Arabidopsis thaliana: one gene and its partner. The protein of the gene in region 1 interacts with the protein of each later gene in a pairwise test. Each region holds a gene or a part of one and is shown in the gene's direction. Other genes may lie near its edges.

The links.
Region 2: the proteins of AT3G56570 (region 1) and AT1G04990 interact in a two-hybrid assay, tested with the Arabidopsis thaliana proteins (one large-scale study listed by BioGRID).

Annotation. Positions count from the first base shown.
Region 1 is NC_003074.8:20,955,715-20,963,617, forward strand, and holds AT3G56570 (SET domain-containing protein), read left to right. Parts: upstream 1-2,869; 5' UTR 2,870-2,945; coding exon 2,946-2,956; intron 2,957-3,033; coding exon 3,034-3,409; intron 3,410-3,487; coding exon 3,488-3,684; intron 3,685-4,332; coding exon 4,333-4,666; intron 4,667-4,742; coding exon 4,743-5,423; 3' UTR 5,424-5,579; downstream 5,580-7,903. Other genes in the region: NAC065 (NAC domain containing protein 65), read left to right, coding at 451-751, 957-1,153; AT3G56580 (RING/U-box superfamily protein), read left to right, coding at 6,849-7,811.
Region 2 is NC_003070.9:1,416,164-1,424,644, reverse strand, and holds AT1G04990 (Zinc finger C-x8-C-x5-C-x3-H type family protein), read left to right. Parts: upstream 1-3,005; 5' UTR 3,006-3,190; coding exon 3,191-3,266; intron 3,267-3,514; coding exon 3,515-3,672; intron 3,673-3,763; coding exon 3,764-3,820; exon of another isoform or gene 3,821-4,032; coding exon of another isoform or gene 4,033-4,080; coding exon 4,081-4,197; intron 4,198-4,271; coding exon 4,272-4,541; intron 4,542-4,612; coding exon 4,613-4,858; intron 4,859-4,986; coding exon 4,987-5,277; 3' UTR 5,278-5,429; exon of another isoform or gene 5,430-5,574; intron 5,575-5,617; exon of another isoform or gene 5,618-5,870; 3' UTR 5,871-6,033; downstream 6,034-8,481. Other genes in the region: AT1G04985 (triacylglycerol lipase-like protein), read left to right, coding at 6,354-6,470, 6,599-6,671, 7,255-7,319, 7,667-7,776, 7,866-8,082. UniProt on the Arabidopsis thaliana protein: Possesses RNA-binding and ribonuclease activities in vitro.

The DNA of each region.
Region 1 (7,903 bases):
TTCACATTTAATGTAATCAACGTTTATTTCTTTGTTAACTTGTGTTGTTTGGAGTAATTCACATTCTTGCTTACATTATTCCACAATTTTAACGTTTGTTAGCTAAACATGAAACTTATTCTTTTCCAAATCTCAATCTCAATTTGATATTCAGCAAATCTTATATTATCCGAACCCCATATTATCTCAAATTCGATAAATTTATAAATCATTTTATATATACACCGTCTTATTACATTCTTATAAATAAGAGACAATAACTAACGTAACTAACTGAATATCTCTTACGAAACTTACGCAAAAATCTCTTACGAAACTTAATCCCATATTATCTCAAATTTTATAAATCATTTTATATATACACCGTCTTATTACATTCTTATAAATAAGAGACAATTACTAACTAACTGAATATCTCTTACGAAACTTACTCCTTGTTTTTTGTCAAAGCTCCAAAGTTACTTGATGATGATGCCTGGAAGAAACAAGCGCAAAGAAAGATCCTGGCCGGAACCGCAAACGCAACCACAGTCAGAGATTCCTTCTTCTTCGTCTTCTTTGGCAGCTGATAACATGTCTCCTCCGTCGACGATAGCTTACGTATTACCGCCAGGTTTTAAGTTTATGCCAAACGATAAAGAAGTCATCAATTGTTACTTGAAACCTTACTCGGACGGCAACACCAACGTATTGCTCAATGTTCCTATTCATCGCGTCAATATCTACGAGTCGAATCCACAGACACTTTCAGGTTAACTTTGTCTCCGTCCATATGTATTGTTTACTTAGTTGAATTCTTTAGTTTATTAAGTGATTAACATATATCTATATATATATATTTTTGAAACAGAGGAATTCCAGAAGGGTAACGATAAAGAATGGTTTATTATAACGGAGAGGAACAAAGTTGATCAAGGTTTAAGCCAAACAAAGAGAGTTGGTAATGGTGCGAAAAGGCAGAAACGTGGCGACACTGACGGAGGATATTGGCACGCAAAAGTGGCTGCCCAAAAGATTTAAAGCTGGAGATGGTGTCGTTGGCAACAAAAGGCCACTTGCATACTACGTTGGGAAACCATCAGAAGGCGTCAAAACTGATTGGTTAATGCAAGAATACTCTCTTGATCACTCTTCTCACAACACGACAAGGTAAGAAGTGTTTCTTGGTTCCCAAGTTATTTAGGTTTTTAAGTTTTTTGGATTCTGTTTTGAGTCTTGTTTTGAGTCTTCTTCTTGTTTCTGTTGGTGCGTCATGAATCCATTTTGTGTGTTCTTCTGTCAATGATCACGTTACAAAATCATGAAACAGGTTTATGGTGGAAAACATAAATAAAACACAAAAAAACATAAATAAAAGAGTAAATAAACATAAAATAAAATGCTTACCATTGTAATTCTTAATCAAAAATTACAATGGTAGCATTTTATTTATTTTTGATGGAAAAATAAAACACACAAAATTCAAATCAAACTCCATAGATAGGTTGAGATCAACTGCATTTATTTTCTTTCTTTTATTCCTTCCTTCACGATGTTTTCTAGTAAACCGGTATTGTTCGACACTCTTGAAAATGAATCAGAAATAAAAGAGTAATCGATGGTGGAATCACCAAAACTCTGCGTTTTTGGTTGTGGCGAGGATAGAAAATTGCCGAGAGTTCATCAAATGGAGTGAACGAGGAAGATTTTGTTGTCGTTTCTTCTCCTGCACCCGAACATGATGTTGTTTTGGCTGAGTATTCATTTATCTTTGTTATAATTAATGATTACAAAGTTTTTATTATTATTGGTTTGTTTATAGCACATACTTTAGTCTATTCTATATATAAATGTATGAAATGGTAATGTATTGAAGATCAAAGTCTTACTTGATATTTTTGTTTTTGGAAATTTATACACTAAACATTAGGCTTTTTCCTTTAATTCAAAGTTGGATGTAAAACTCTTTAACACTGTTGGATGTAAAACTCTTTAATACTTTTTAAAAGAAGAGTTTTCTGCAAAATAACCCTCCAAATCAATCTCGTTTGCAAGTTACCCTCCAAGTCCGAATTATGCAAGTCAACCCCACCTACTCTAAATCACCTGCAATACAACCCTCCCGTATATCGATGACGTGGCAGTCGATAACTCCGTTTGAATACATAAGGATTTTGTGCAAAAAACCCTCAATATAATTTTTTTTTGCAAGATAAACCTCCATGTCAAATAAATACAGATTAAACCACAATCTGAAAAATCTCCTACAATGACGTGAGAGTCGATAACTTCTAACATAACTAAGGGTTGAGGCTATAAGTGTCTACATTGATATCAAGGGGTGTTTATTCTGAATAATCGGATCCGAATTCAAATCGAATTATATATTAATATGGTATGAATACATTCACCTTTTTCTTTATCCAAAATTTTGAATTTAAATTCAAACCAAACAAAAAAAATCAAAGTTTTATTAATATTTTAGGATTAAATACCAAACTCTGAATTTGAGTACTAAACTGTTTATCCCAATGATAAATGTTTTGTTTTAGATACTATTTTACGTATCAAAAGTTTTTTTTCTTTTCGTCACGTATCAGAAGATTCAAAACTAAACCAAAATTCGGATTGAACACTCTTAAATTTGTATGCATATTATCGCTAAACTCATTACAAAAATGAAATGGAGTATTTGTATGTGATGCATAGATTACTAGTTTGATAATGTTTAAAAGGGAAGATACAAAACATATAAATAATTTCCCCGTAATTAAAGTGTGGCAATTAGAAGCTGTTATCCAAATTACTTCAGGTTTATTTAATTTTCAGATGGAAGGGTATTTTCGTCAATACTCTTCGTATGTTACTGAACATCATAAACCCTTTATTCATTTATCGCCGTCGTTGTCTCTCTCACCGGACGTTGTTTTGTTTCCCTCCGGCGATTTCATCGGAGACCTTCACTCATGGCCACAAGGTTCTCTCTCGCTCTATAGTCAATGAATAGAACCTTTAATTTTACCTTGTTTAATTTCTCGTCTCTCGCATTGTTAGTAGGAGATTAAGAGCATTCAAGAGATGGATGCAAGCTAACGGCGTTGATTGCAGCGAAGCTCTCAACCTCGTCGACGACGAAAACGATGGTGTCTCTGTGAGAGCATTCTGCGATTTGAAGGAAGGAGATGTTGTTGCCAATATCTCAAAAACTGCTTGTCTCACTATCAAAACCAGTGGAGCTCGTGAGATGATCGAATCTGCTGATTTAGATGGAAGTTTAGGTCTCTCTGTGGCTCTCATGTACGAGAGAAGCTTAGGTGAAGAATCTCCTTGGGCTGGTTATCTTCAGATTCTTCCTATTCAAGAAGATTTGCCTCTTGTTTGGTCTCTTGAAGACTTAGATTCTCTCTTATCTGGAACTGAGCTTCATAAGGTTTCCTTTCCAAATTTTGATTTACCATTGCATTGTAGTTGAATTCACTACTCATCAGTTTGAATTTTTTGTAGGCAGTTGGTGAAGGAAGATCATGTTCTTATATATGAGGATTGGAAAGAAAACATTTTGCCGCTTACCTCTTCACTGCCTCAGAATGTTGATTCTGATTCGTTTGGAATCAAAGAGTATCTTGCTGCTAAGAGTTTAATTGCTTCACGGTCTTTCGAAATCGATGATTACCATGGATCCGGGATGGTTCCTCTTGCAGACCTGTAAGTTTACCTCACATTTGTCTTCATAGGGCTTGTTAAGCTAAATATGTATCAACCAAAGAAAGTTGTTAGAATTGAGGTTTAATACCTTAGAAATGCTTTCCTGTATCAGCTGTTTTTACTCCCTAAGCTTTGCATTAACCATAGACTTATATAGTTAGTTACTTAGTTTATGGTCATATAGATGTTTTCCTTATTTCTCTGTTCACTTCCCAGACTTGTGAGTTTTTATTGCATCTTGTATATCGGCCAATTTGCCTAGTTGTTGGACCAACATTTGCTTGTTTATGTTGTCCTCAAGAGATTTCCGCTGTGTAGATTTTAAGGTCTCGTTAGGTTCAATCACTTTGATAAGACCGAGTATGTTCCCAGTCCTGTCAGTGATTGCAGATAATCTATACAGTTAGCAATCAATGTGCTGATTTTTTTCACAGCCTTCTTCTGGATTGCAGCATCTTATTGGTTATTTACTTGGATCTGTGCTTTTCCGTTTTGATTTTTTTTTTCATGTGGAAAAAATGATCCTTAGAAGTCGGTTTCGATGAACTAAATGTGATTCTAGCATGCTAGGTGAATTTCCTGACAAATGCTTGATGATTTACTCATTGTCCACTCTTCTTAGTATTGCCTGTTTATTTCATTTTGCAGCTTTAATCATAAAACTGGGGCAGAAGACGTTCACTTCACTCATGAATCCGATTCTGAAGCTGATGAATCTGACAACGATGATGCTGCAAATGAGACCACTGATGAAGACGAGCCTTCCAGTAAAATTTCTTCCTCGCCTGAGCAGTCTTTTGAGGAAGTTCCTGGTGAAAACACTGATGACGAAGCCAAAGAAGAAGAAGAAGAAGAAGAAGAAGAAGAAGAAGGAGAAGAAGAAGAAGAAGGAGAAGAGGAAGAAGAAAACTCTTCAATGCTGCAAAATGATCAATCCGGTCTAAAAATGATTATGGTGAAGGATGTCTCAGCTGGAGCTGAGGTATGTATGATTTTTCATTTGGTTTTCAAGTTAGAATTATATGTCATTTGCATTGATGCCATGATTTTCTGTGTAGGTATTCAATACATACGGTTTGATGGGTAATGCTGCATTACTCCACAGGTACGGATTTACAGAGCTCGATAATCCATATGACATAGTAAACATAGATCTAGAATTAGTAACCGAATGGAGCACATCCTCATTCACAAGCCGGTACACTCGAGCTAGACTGGCCTTGTGGAGAAAACTAGGTTACACAGGATGCGAGAGTCAAAACTCAGAATACTTTGAGGTATCTTCAACCGGAGAACCCCAAACCGAGCTCCTGATCCTACTCTATATACTGCTCTTACCAGACGACACATACAATAAACTGGATCTAGCTGAATCAACAACAGGAGCTTCTCCCTCGAAAGAAGGAAAAAGATCTTCTTCTTACGAGATAACAATTGGGAAACACAAGTTTGTGTATGGAGAAAGCGGAAATGATATTCTTCTGACAGATGGTGTTTGTGAAGCTCTTCTAACTATTGTGGATAAGCGAGAGAGTTTATATGGATCATTGAGCTCATTGGAAGATGACATTGTTAGGGTGAAGACTTGTTGTCTTCCGAGAGACAGGAGACTATATCATTCGCTTGTGTTGCGTGTGAGTGAGAGGAAGATTCTAAAGAAGCTTAGGAGCTACATCCATACCCAGACCAATGAGTCTTCCAGCGGAAAGCGCCGGAAGAAGATGGTTCCAAAATCCTAGCAACATCTTTAGTTTGCTTGTTGAATTTTCACTTTTCATCCCCAAGTTACCATTTTTAAACGACTTGTTCTACTAACATTGAGTTTCATCTATAATGGTGATCGAATCTTAGCAGATTTGATCGATTCTTTTTTGTTCTATTTATAGAAATTCTTGAGGTTTAAAAATAAAAGAAAGAAAGGATTTTATATCGTGAGTAGTATATTGAGTAATCTTCAGACGGAAGCAAAGAAAGCGTGACAAAAAGCCGGCGACTGTCAGACAGGTAGAACTGTAAATATGGAGAAAGATGGGGTTACTTTAACAAAGGTAGACACGTGGCACGTGGGAATTAAAGGATATTACAGACTTTACACAGAATTACACAGAGATAAGACAAGTTCTTTTTTAAGCTTTTTTTTTTTTAACAGTCAAAAAGACTCAATAGAGTGTAACGGAGAGATTCTTCTACCAGAGTTGCTCTCTTTTGGTTCGTTTTCTTCCTCCAAAATCCAATCTTACCACAGTTTCTTTAGGGTTTCTTCTTCGTCTTCCTTTGGATCTATGTGAACAGGTATGTAACTGATTGAGCTGCTCTTTCTGATTAACCAAGTAAATTGTTCTCTTGAATCTTATCATTTTATTTTGTTTCATTTTTCTTGTTGGATTTAGATCCTTGGATCAAATTTGCTCAAATGTTGTGGTAAAGTCTGTGCCTTTGATTGTATTTCGGATATTTTCTGTGTGTTTTACTCTGATATTGATTAGGATTTGTGTATTTCGTATTTTTTTTTTCCATTGAAGCGTTTTCTGTGATCTGGTTTTTGATCGATCTTATTCCTCTTGATTAACCGAACGAAAGATGTTTTGATTTCTGTAGATCTCTTGCATTGTACTTTCTTCATTGTTCTTAATTCGATTTTCTCTCCATTGCTGGATCGCCTGATGGCTCATTTAGAGTTTTTTTTTCTAGCTCAAATGTGGTTGAACTATAGAGTTTCTGAGTTCATTATTTGGTCATTTTTTAATTGAGTTGGCTTGATTAAAGAAGAATTTATTTGTTAATCAGCTAGATTAGATTTGAAGATTGTAGTAGATTAGTATGATGTGAATGTTCTAATCTGGGAATAAAGGGTCTAGTGTTGAGGGAAACATGAGATTTTTCATAATTGGGTGAAATATGTGTTGTAAAGTTTGGTCTTTTATTTGCTTAATTATGACTTGTGGTTCCATTGACTCTTGTAGTATGAACTAAGCTCTGAGGTAAGCTTGGGAAGTAGGGATATGGCCAAAATCTCTTTGGTTTACCAACTTAGCAAAAAAGTTAGCAGGAGTTGGTGATCAGTTCTCCTACCGGCTTTTGCAGGCTAATAACTAATACCTGACTGTAAAATCTTCCAAGGTTTCAACCACACAGGGACCTTGTTTCTCTTGTTATTGTAAAGGATGTCAAGTATTCGGAATACTCATTGGTGTCACAGATGTCAACGTGCTGTTTGGCTTCGAGCTCGAGATGCTGTCTGTTCATATTGTGGAGGAGGGTTTGTTGAGGAAATCGATATAGGACCGAGTAGAGCTCACAGGGATGTTGAGCGTGATCCAACCTTTGATCTCATGGAAGCTTTCTCAGCCTTTATGAGAAGCCGTTTAGCTGAAAGAAGCTATGACCGAGAAATCAGCGGAAGACTTGGCTCTGCGGGTTCTGAAAGCTTTTCAAACTTGGCTCCTCTATTGATCTTTGGTGGCCAAGCTCCCTTTCGATTGGCTGGTGGTGATAATAGTTCAGTTGAAGCCTTTGTCAATGGCGCAGCACCTGGAATTGGTATCGCACGTGGCACCAATGCCGGAGACTATTTTTTTGGACCCGGTCTTGAAGAACTGATTGAACAGCTTTCCTCAGGCACTCATCACCGAGGCCCACCACCAGCACCGAAATCATCAATTGATGCATTGCCAACCATCAAGATCACACAGAAGCATCTCAAGTCATCAGACTCTCACTGCCCGGTTTGCAAAGACGAGTTCGAACTGAAATCAGAAGCAAAACAGATGCCGTGTCACCATATCTATCATTCTGACTGCATTGTCCCGTGGCTGGTTCAGCATAACTCATGCCCAGTCTGTCGTAAAGAGTTGCCATCCAGAGGATCTTCTTCAAGCACACAGAGTAGTCAGAACAGAAGCACCAATGGAAGAGAAAACAGCAGAAGAAGGAACATTTTCTCTAACCTCTGGCCATTCCGCTCGTCTAGCTCAAGCTCGACTCAAAACCGCAGAGACACAAACAACACAGCAACTGCAGAAGAAGGCCACTATCATCATCACCAGCAGCAACAGCAACAACATCAACATCAACATCAACAACAACAATCCCATATGGGTTACAGTGGATGGCCTTTTGACTATTAAAGGTTAATCTAACTCTTGACTCTTTTTAAGCCTTCTGTTTCACTTTGGTTCTGTGTATTTTGTTTGTGTTTTGTCATGTCTCTCTTTCCCTT
Region 2 (8,481 bases), on another chromosome or scaffold:
ACACAGAGAAATAAAAAGAGAGAGAGAGATTCCAAAGGACAAAGAGCAATTACTCTGCTAAGTGGGAAGAACAATCACTAATCTGAGTCATCTGGCATTCATAAACGCACCTTTATTTAAGTTCTATGGGATCGTAATCTGAGTACATTAATTACTTCTATGTTCCTTTCACATTTTGTTTTGTTAAACAATTTCATAATATTGTTTTGAAATGTATAATTTTAGCCAATATTCGGTTTTAATATTTGTTACTGCCTTTTTTTTTTTTTTTTCCACCAATTTGTTACTGCCTTGAAATAACTATTTAATTGTGTGAAAATAAAATTCGGTCCAAACTATCTACTGTAGTTGCCATTTCTGTCATACATGATACTACATAATAACACGGACGCCGTGTTTTACCTTTTTTTTGGGGTCAAATTTCGTATAAAGAAAAATGGAGACGAATGTTTTTCTTCGGTGCATAATCGCACCATTTAAATATATGTCTATTACATAATCAAAACGAAATAATGCAAAAAGAACCACATCACGACAATACATTATTAGAATCCACGTCACATATTTGTCTTCCACATAACACTCACACCAGAAAACTACTCTTTTCTAATTAAAAAAAAACAGATGATAACTAAGCTAAAGACATAAAATTTGTAATGTTTAGTGTCCCACACTGGACTTTAATTGGATAAATTACTCCATAAAAACAAAATGCACCAGATAGTTTTTTTATAAGAAAAACAAAAAAGGTACATTCCAGGGAATATACCTTATGATTCTCAAGGATTATTGCGCCGCGAGCACTCGGCCACGTACGAAAGCGTTTTGGATGCCGTTAAAGAACTTTCCGTAAAAAGAACGTACGAAAATATCATAATGCCTTCAATTTATCTTTCGAGAATTTGTTCTAATTTGTTCTAATTTTCCAAAACATTGAAATTTTCTCACGGAATATAAAACATTAATATATGAATTAATGTTTTTCCAAAGCATACGTAAGCCTCGCTATACCGTTGCCCATTCCGAAGTTGCGTATCAAAACGCAAAAGGATTACAGTGAATTAACAATACGAGAAGACCGTTCATGAGAGTGAGTATACGCACATTTTCAATTGAAGTTATTGGAGTTGTTAATTAGTTGCATGCATCTAACGATCTAAGTCTCCGATTTTGACGTACAAAGATTTCGTCCATTATTGTCGTTTTTCCATATCATAGAAATTTTAATTTTTTCATGCATGATATCCATTCATCCATGATCATCAAGATTCAAAGTCGTGACTTCTTCTCTTGTCTCTGGCCCCACATTTGTAGACCTATTATTGGTTCATAGTTAGGTTCTATTTATGACTAATATCTAGTACAATATATCAACTTGAGAATTTATCAACTATTTGTTAGGAATGATATATTTAGCTCACTTTCAATTTTCTTGGTGTATTATCATTTATATATTTAGCATGCCACTTACTAACGTTTTATTAGAGTTGCAAAAAGATCATTTAATATTTCCCTCAAATAATTATGTGAAAACTTCAAATAAAAACAAGAATTTTAAACATACGAGACGAAAATGTAACATGGTCATTATAAATTGTTCACACACACATATTCTCTTGACATTAAAACCAAAAAAAATTTGTTTACATAGAAGATTTCGAACATCAAGACATAAAATGAAAAAAGGAAGTATCAAAAAGAGGCCCTTTAAAGCCCAATTTATGGGACCTTAGGCCCATTGTAAAGGTATCAACATCCTCCATTTCAGAAAACGTAAGATTTTACAAAACAGACCCAATAGTATTATTTTACCTGTTGCCAAGGCCCATTTGTTGGAGAAACCGACCGAAAGGAGTACGAGACTAAGAAAATCTCTTGCACATGTCTTTGTAATGGATCCGTCCTTTGGACTCTCTCTTGGATGTTGTTTCTGTCTCTTCAACAATAAATGATTAATTGTATAATTAACGAACGATCGTTCTTAGGGCTAATAGGGAAATACACCATCAATGCGCATGTACATAACTCTAATTTCATTTTAAAATCACAGGAATTCCATTTTTATACAGAGTCCAAAATTCATACTTTATAAAAACCCTTTCCACATACATTACCTTAATCTAGTAGGAGACGGAAACTTGAAGTCATAGGAAACTAATTAAAGGGGAGAGTCAAAAGAAAAATAACAAAAAGCCGAATCCATTTTACTTTTTTTTGTTTAATATGTTGTTGACGTGTAATAAAAAGTATTTGGAACGGTCAAACCAGTAGAAGAGAAAAGCGTCAAAATCACGGAAAAGAACATAGGTGGTCATCAGAGCAGAGGATCACTACCTCGTAAGCTAACGTGGCGTAATACTGACGTCTAAAGATCACAGCTCTTACGCTGCTCCAGTGACCAGCGAATCGTAACCTCCGATTCTGTCCCTTTTTCTACCGGTGGGTCCCAACCACTTTACAAACTGCGAAGCATAAGATTTCTTGTGCCAGAAGAATTACATTGTTCTGACTATTTTACCCTTTTACCCCTATCTGGATGATATTTTATTTTTATTTAGTAAAATCATATATTTTCATTACAAGAAAATTGTATAGTCAGTAGGTAATTCAGTATTATTCTCTGGAAAACCGATGGTTAAAACTTGAAAAAGAGCCAAGCTGCCAAGGTCTAGCTAGGTTCACAATGAACCGTCACATTGAAGATATCAGACCAGACCAAGCAGGGGTAATATTGTCATCTCAGGTACATCAAATTTATTATCTTGTACACGAGGAGTATTCATTTTTATTTTTTAAAAACACGGTTAATTAATTTTCTTCCTTTTCACACAGAGACATCGGAGGAGAAAAAAAAGGGCAAAAACAAAAAACAAAGATCCGAAATTTTTCCTCTGGAAATATCTCAGTGAGTGTCTGTGTAAAACAAAAAAAACAAGGAAGAAAATTTACTACATTTCTGTATTATTTAGCATTAAATGGATCTGTTCCAACGATAATTCTCTGTCTGTGATAAAAGAAAAATTGAATTTTTTCTTCTATCTATCTACCTCTGTTCTTCCTCGTCATTTCTTACCCAGAAAAATAGAGGATAACAAAAATCTGTTTCTTTCGATGATCATCGTGACACTTTCTCTGTGATTTTTCCTTTCTTCTGTTGTTGTTGATCATCGTGATCATCGTCTTTCCTTACATGCGAACCCCCATGTCAGACACTCAGCATGTACAGAGCTCTTTGGTGTCGATTCGATCTTCCGACAAAATCGAAGGTTAACTTTCTTCTAATCTCGAGAGATCCATTTGATCCGGTCTGGTTTTTCCGTAATGTGTTTGAAAGATCATACTGAGTTTTCTAGTTTGATCATCGTTTATAACTCTCATTGTGATTTCAGCAAATTTTTGTAGCATTTCGGAATTTTGATCTCTTGATGAGTTTTATTTACGTTTTCTGTTTGCTTTTTTTATCTAGTGATCAAGTTTTGAGATTTATGTTGTTGTTGTTATGATGATCTTGTAGATGCCTTTAGGAAGATGAAAGTAAATGAGACCGGCGTGGAGGAACTGAATCCGTATCCAGATCGTCCCGGTGAAAGAGATTGCCAATTCTATTTAAGAACTGGTCTCTGTGGCTATGGAAGCAGTTGCCGTTACAATCATCCTACTCATCTTCCACAGGTCAGAAACTAAACTTCATTTATTTTGGCTGAGTCTTACTTAAGTTGCAATTTTGGCCTCATGGGTTTACTGCTTTTAAACATCTTAATAGGATGTTGCTTATTACAAGGAGGAGCTCCCTGAGAGAATTGGACAGCCGGATTGTGAGGTGCAGTTTCTTGTATCTCTCACTATCTCAAATCTTGGTTGTTGTTTGGATGAGTACATTGTAAACAGTTAAAAAGAAAACGAGATTTTTGTTCAGAATAAAGCTAAAGTAAGAGAACTGATTCTAGTTTGTAACTTCACATAAGAGAGGTAGCAAGAATATACATTGAAACTGCAGAAGATATTCCTCATCTGGTTTAGTCTTTCCTCCAAATGTTTTCCACAAACAACTTTTTCTTCTACATGCAATTTTCGCTGCAGTATTTTCTGAAGACAGGAGCTTGTAAGTACGGCCCAACTTGTAAATATCATCATCCAAAGGACAGGAACGGTGCACAACCTGTAATGTTCAATGTTATCGGTTTACCTATGCGTCTGGTAATTTCCATCGTTGTAGCTAAATTCTTTTTCTTTAGTCGAATGTGGAAGACTTATTTGAATTTCTTCTCCAGGGTGAGAAGCCATGTCCATATTACCTGCGAACGGGAACTTGCAGATTCGGAGTTGCTTGCAAATTCCACCATCCTCAACCTGATAATGGACATTCTACTGCATATGGAATGTCTAGCTTTCCTGCTGCAGATTTACGATATGCTAGTGGTTTAACAATGATGTCTACATATGGAACTTTGCCTCGTCCGCAAGTTCCCCAGTCCTATGTGCCAATCCTGGTTTCACCCTCTCAAGGCTTTTTACCTCCTCAAGGCTGGGCCCCTTACATGGTTAGTCTGAATTGAAGCTGCCAATAACGTAAACCTGTTCTTTACTGTTGATATCACATTTTATGTTGCAGGCTGCATCTAACTCCATGTACAATGTGAAGAATCAACCTTATTACTCCGGTAGTAGTGCATCCATGGCCATGGCTGTGGCATTGAACCGTGGTTTGTCAGAAAGTTCTGACCAACCAGAATGTCGGTTTTTTATGAACACCGGGACATGTAAATACGGAGACGATTGCAAATACAGCCATCCCGGAGTAAGGATTTCACAACCACCACCAAGTCTTATAAACCCTTTTGTTCTTCCAGCGAGACCTGTAAGTCTCTTACTAAACTGAAAGAAGAGCTTTGGTTACAAACAAATGTGGTCTTACAGGTCACTAGTAAAACTTTTACAAAGATTTTGAACATCTAATGAGCTACTGTTTTGATTTTTGCTGTCTAGGGACAACCAGCTTGTGGTAACTTCAGGTCTTATGGATTCTGCAAGTTTGGACCAAACTGCAAATTCGACCACCCTATGCTGCCATATCCGGGCCTGACCATGGCTACTTCTCTGCCTACTCCTTTTGCTTCACCTGTTACAACCCATCAGAGGATCTCACCAACACCAAACCGCTCTGATTCAAAGTCTCTTTCTAATGGTAAACCTGATGTGAAGAAAGAAAGCTCAGAGACTGAGAAACCAGACAATGGAGAAGTGCAGGATTTGTCTGAGGATGCGTCATCACCATGATCATGATTCTTAAAAACCCCAATGATCTCTCTCTGCCCTTTTTTGTGGAAGAGGAGGGGAGGTGAAAAGTGTTTCTCTTTTCTTTTTTTTTTTGGCTTGGAGATGGCCATGGCTGAAAACAATATAGGATGAAACCAGTGATGTTGTCACAGGTTTCTCTTCTGTTTTTGACTCTGTTAATAAATTTTAATCAGACTTATCAGAGGAAAAATAGAGTTTGTGTTGTGACACTCACTAAGAGCTCTTTATGAATGACAACTCGAACGTAAAATTACATCTTTTGCTTTTGTCAAGTGTTTACATCAGTAATATCCCCAATTTCAAGCTTATTTTTTTTTTTCAATTTTAAAACTAAAAAGGTTCCAAATTTTTTTTATCGATGAGTCATATTTCATTTGAACATTCCAAAAGTAAAGAAAAGAGTTGAAAACTTTCCTCAGCCTATTACAATTGCCTTTAGCTGTTAATGAGTTTTAGAGATTCGATTAGTTTTAACCAACAGTTCCTGAATAATTGGATTTTACTCTCTTGTTGAGTTTAATTATTCCAATATTTCTTCATGGTGCTGTTTTGCTATTGCTGGTGATAAACAGTTGATCTACCGACGATTTGCATTCGACGGTGGTTTCTTCACCAGAAATCGATATCTCCGATGGCGAAGGATGACGATGGGAATCTTTTTTGGCTCATCTTACACGTGTATTATTACGTGTCTTTGGATGATCTTTCTTGATGCAATCTTCTTCTGTAAACGGTGTATTATTGGGCTCTTCTTGAGCTTGCTTTTGTTCGCAATCTGTTTATGTGTGTTGGGCTGTAATTGGCCTTGTAGCAAACGGTTTATTGAATAAAGTCCACTATTGAGAAAAAAAAAAAAAAAAACTGAAAAGGGTTGTTTTTAGGCATTTTTTGTCGGAGAAAAATCTGGGAAGAAGCTTCGTCCTTTGCGTGACAGGGAATCTCTCCGTTGGGGTTTTGTGGCTGCCTACGATTTCTGCAAGCAAAACCACAGAACTCAATCTAATTAATTAGCCGAGTCGACTCAATCCGAGTTTCTACAGCCGCACGAGGGAATCATGAATCGGCTGAGAGGCCGAGGTACACCGATTCTGGGTTCCGCACTCGTGCCTCAGCTGAAGAAAAAAGCCCTAAATTCATTGGTCGCCGTCCAGGATTCATATCTATCCACCAAGGTGATCGAAGAATTTCAATTCATACCGGTTTCTGAAGAATTGGGATTAGTAAATGTTTTTTGCATCAGGATTTTTGTTAAAATGTCAATCTATAATCTGCTTATAATGGGTTTCGTTTAATCTCTTAGGACTTGTTCGAGAGGCACAGGGTCGTGTTTACAGTTGGAACTTCTATAGCATCTGTTGCTACGGCTTGGATTGGTATGTTACAATTCCATATTTTTTGCTTACTTTATCTTCAATTAGAGAATCTTTACCTCTTACCACGTATTTTGATGTTTAAGTTTCTGAATTGGATTGCTTTGAAAGGCGAGCAATGGCTATTAGTGAAGTGATTCAGATTTTGGGTGTTGATTGGCTTCAATTCATGAGTGTTTCATTGGGATAGCTTTAGCTCTCAGGCTTGATCTCTAGGGGTGAAATCCATTCTGTGATAAATTTGAGGCCTTTTTCCGGATCAGACTATAGATTACGGTTTAGTTGATTTGATCTGCCATAAGTTTCCAAGTGTTTGGAGATCATCTTGGTCAGAATTCTGTGATGATGTTCAATAACTAATCTGTCCAAAACTTCCAATAACTGAAGTTTAGTACTTTGAGATCTCTACATGATATTCTAGGTCTTTTGTTATTCTGCTGGGACATAAAACAAGTTAGAAACTGAATTTCTTGTGTGATACTAGTGACCGTTGGAAGAGGTATCTCATTGGTCTTTTGTTTATGTTTGTACTGAGTCAAATGAGTTTTATGACCGTGTTCTACCGAATGGATGAATGATTGTGCAGGTTACTCATTACGACATTACAATGAAACTAGAATTAATCAGAGGCTGGAGTCCATTGAGAATGCGGTTAGTGTGTCCCTCATTTGCCAAAGTTTATTGCACATAGTATTGCATATTTGCTTTAAATTTAGCTGCTTTGCATAGTTGGATTCATATAGCTGCTCTTCTTGCAAATGACTTGGTGCTTCCTCTTATGATGTCTAGTTATTGATCCTCTATCATGAACTTACAGCGTAGTTGTCTGAATTTAGTCCTCTTTCCGTTAATAATATAGATTTTTTTGCTAATACTTACGTGGTTGACTATTTTACACTTTAAAATATTCAGTGTTTTGTTTTTGTACCTTAATGATCCTTAGTTGCTCTATTGTCTCAGTCTGTCACTTGAAATGTTTGTTTTTTTGGTCATGCCAGATGAAAAACACCCAAGAGTTAGAACGAGGAGAACTGAAGAAGCTCGTTGATCCAGTCGGTTCCAGGTTCACTACAACAATTGCCACAGCGGGAACCACTTTGATCCTCGGGTTTGTTTCCGGAAAGACTGTTATAGGTTGACAAGTTAGATACTGTGTGTCGGGTTTCTCATTAATAGTTTCCGTCTGTTTTTCTTCAGGTATGGGTTGGGTTGGCGAGGCGGGATATGGTATGCAAATAGGAAGTTTAGAAGGGAGCAAATGAGATTGGCCGGGCAGTTAAAACCGAGAGAATGGAAGTTACTAGGGAGGATAAAACCTCGAGCTTGGCCAACAACAAAGTTTCTCAGACGACCATTCCCAAGACAGAACAAAACAACAGAAAATGCTTTGAAGGCACCAGAATGTGGAGGTTGAAAAATTGAAGAACAATCTAAAGAAGTAGCTGATCGGAACATAAAAGTGCACATGGGTTTTGTCTTGAAGCCAAAGGCTCTTCTGTCTTTTTATTCCTTTATGAGGAAATTGAGATAACCTAATTCGAAAATCAAATAGATTTGTGTTATAAATTGACTCTAGTAGTGTGGACTATGAAATGTGATTCAGCTAATCTTTATATCGAGATCAAAATTTAAGGATTCCTCTGTTTTCGCACATAAAAAAGAAAAAGAAAAAGGATTCCTCTGTTTATGAACAAGATAACCAAAAAACATGGCCAAGTAGATGAGAGGAGAGTGTGCTGACGTGTGACAATATCATTGGTGCGTACACGTAAGTCCACGTAGACAATGTTTTTAGTTCGTGTCCTAAAGAGTC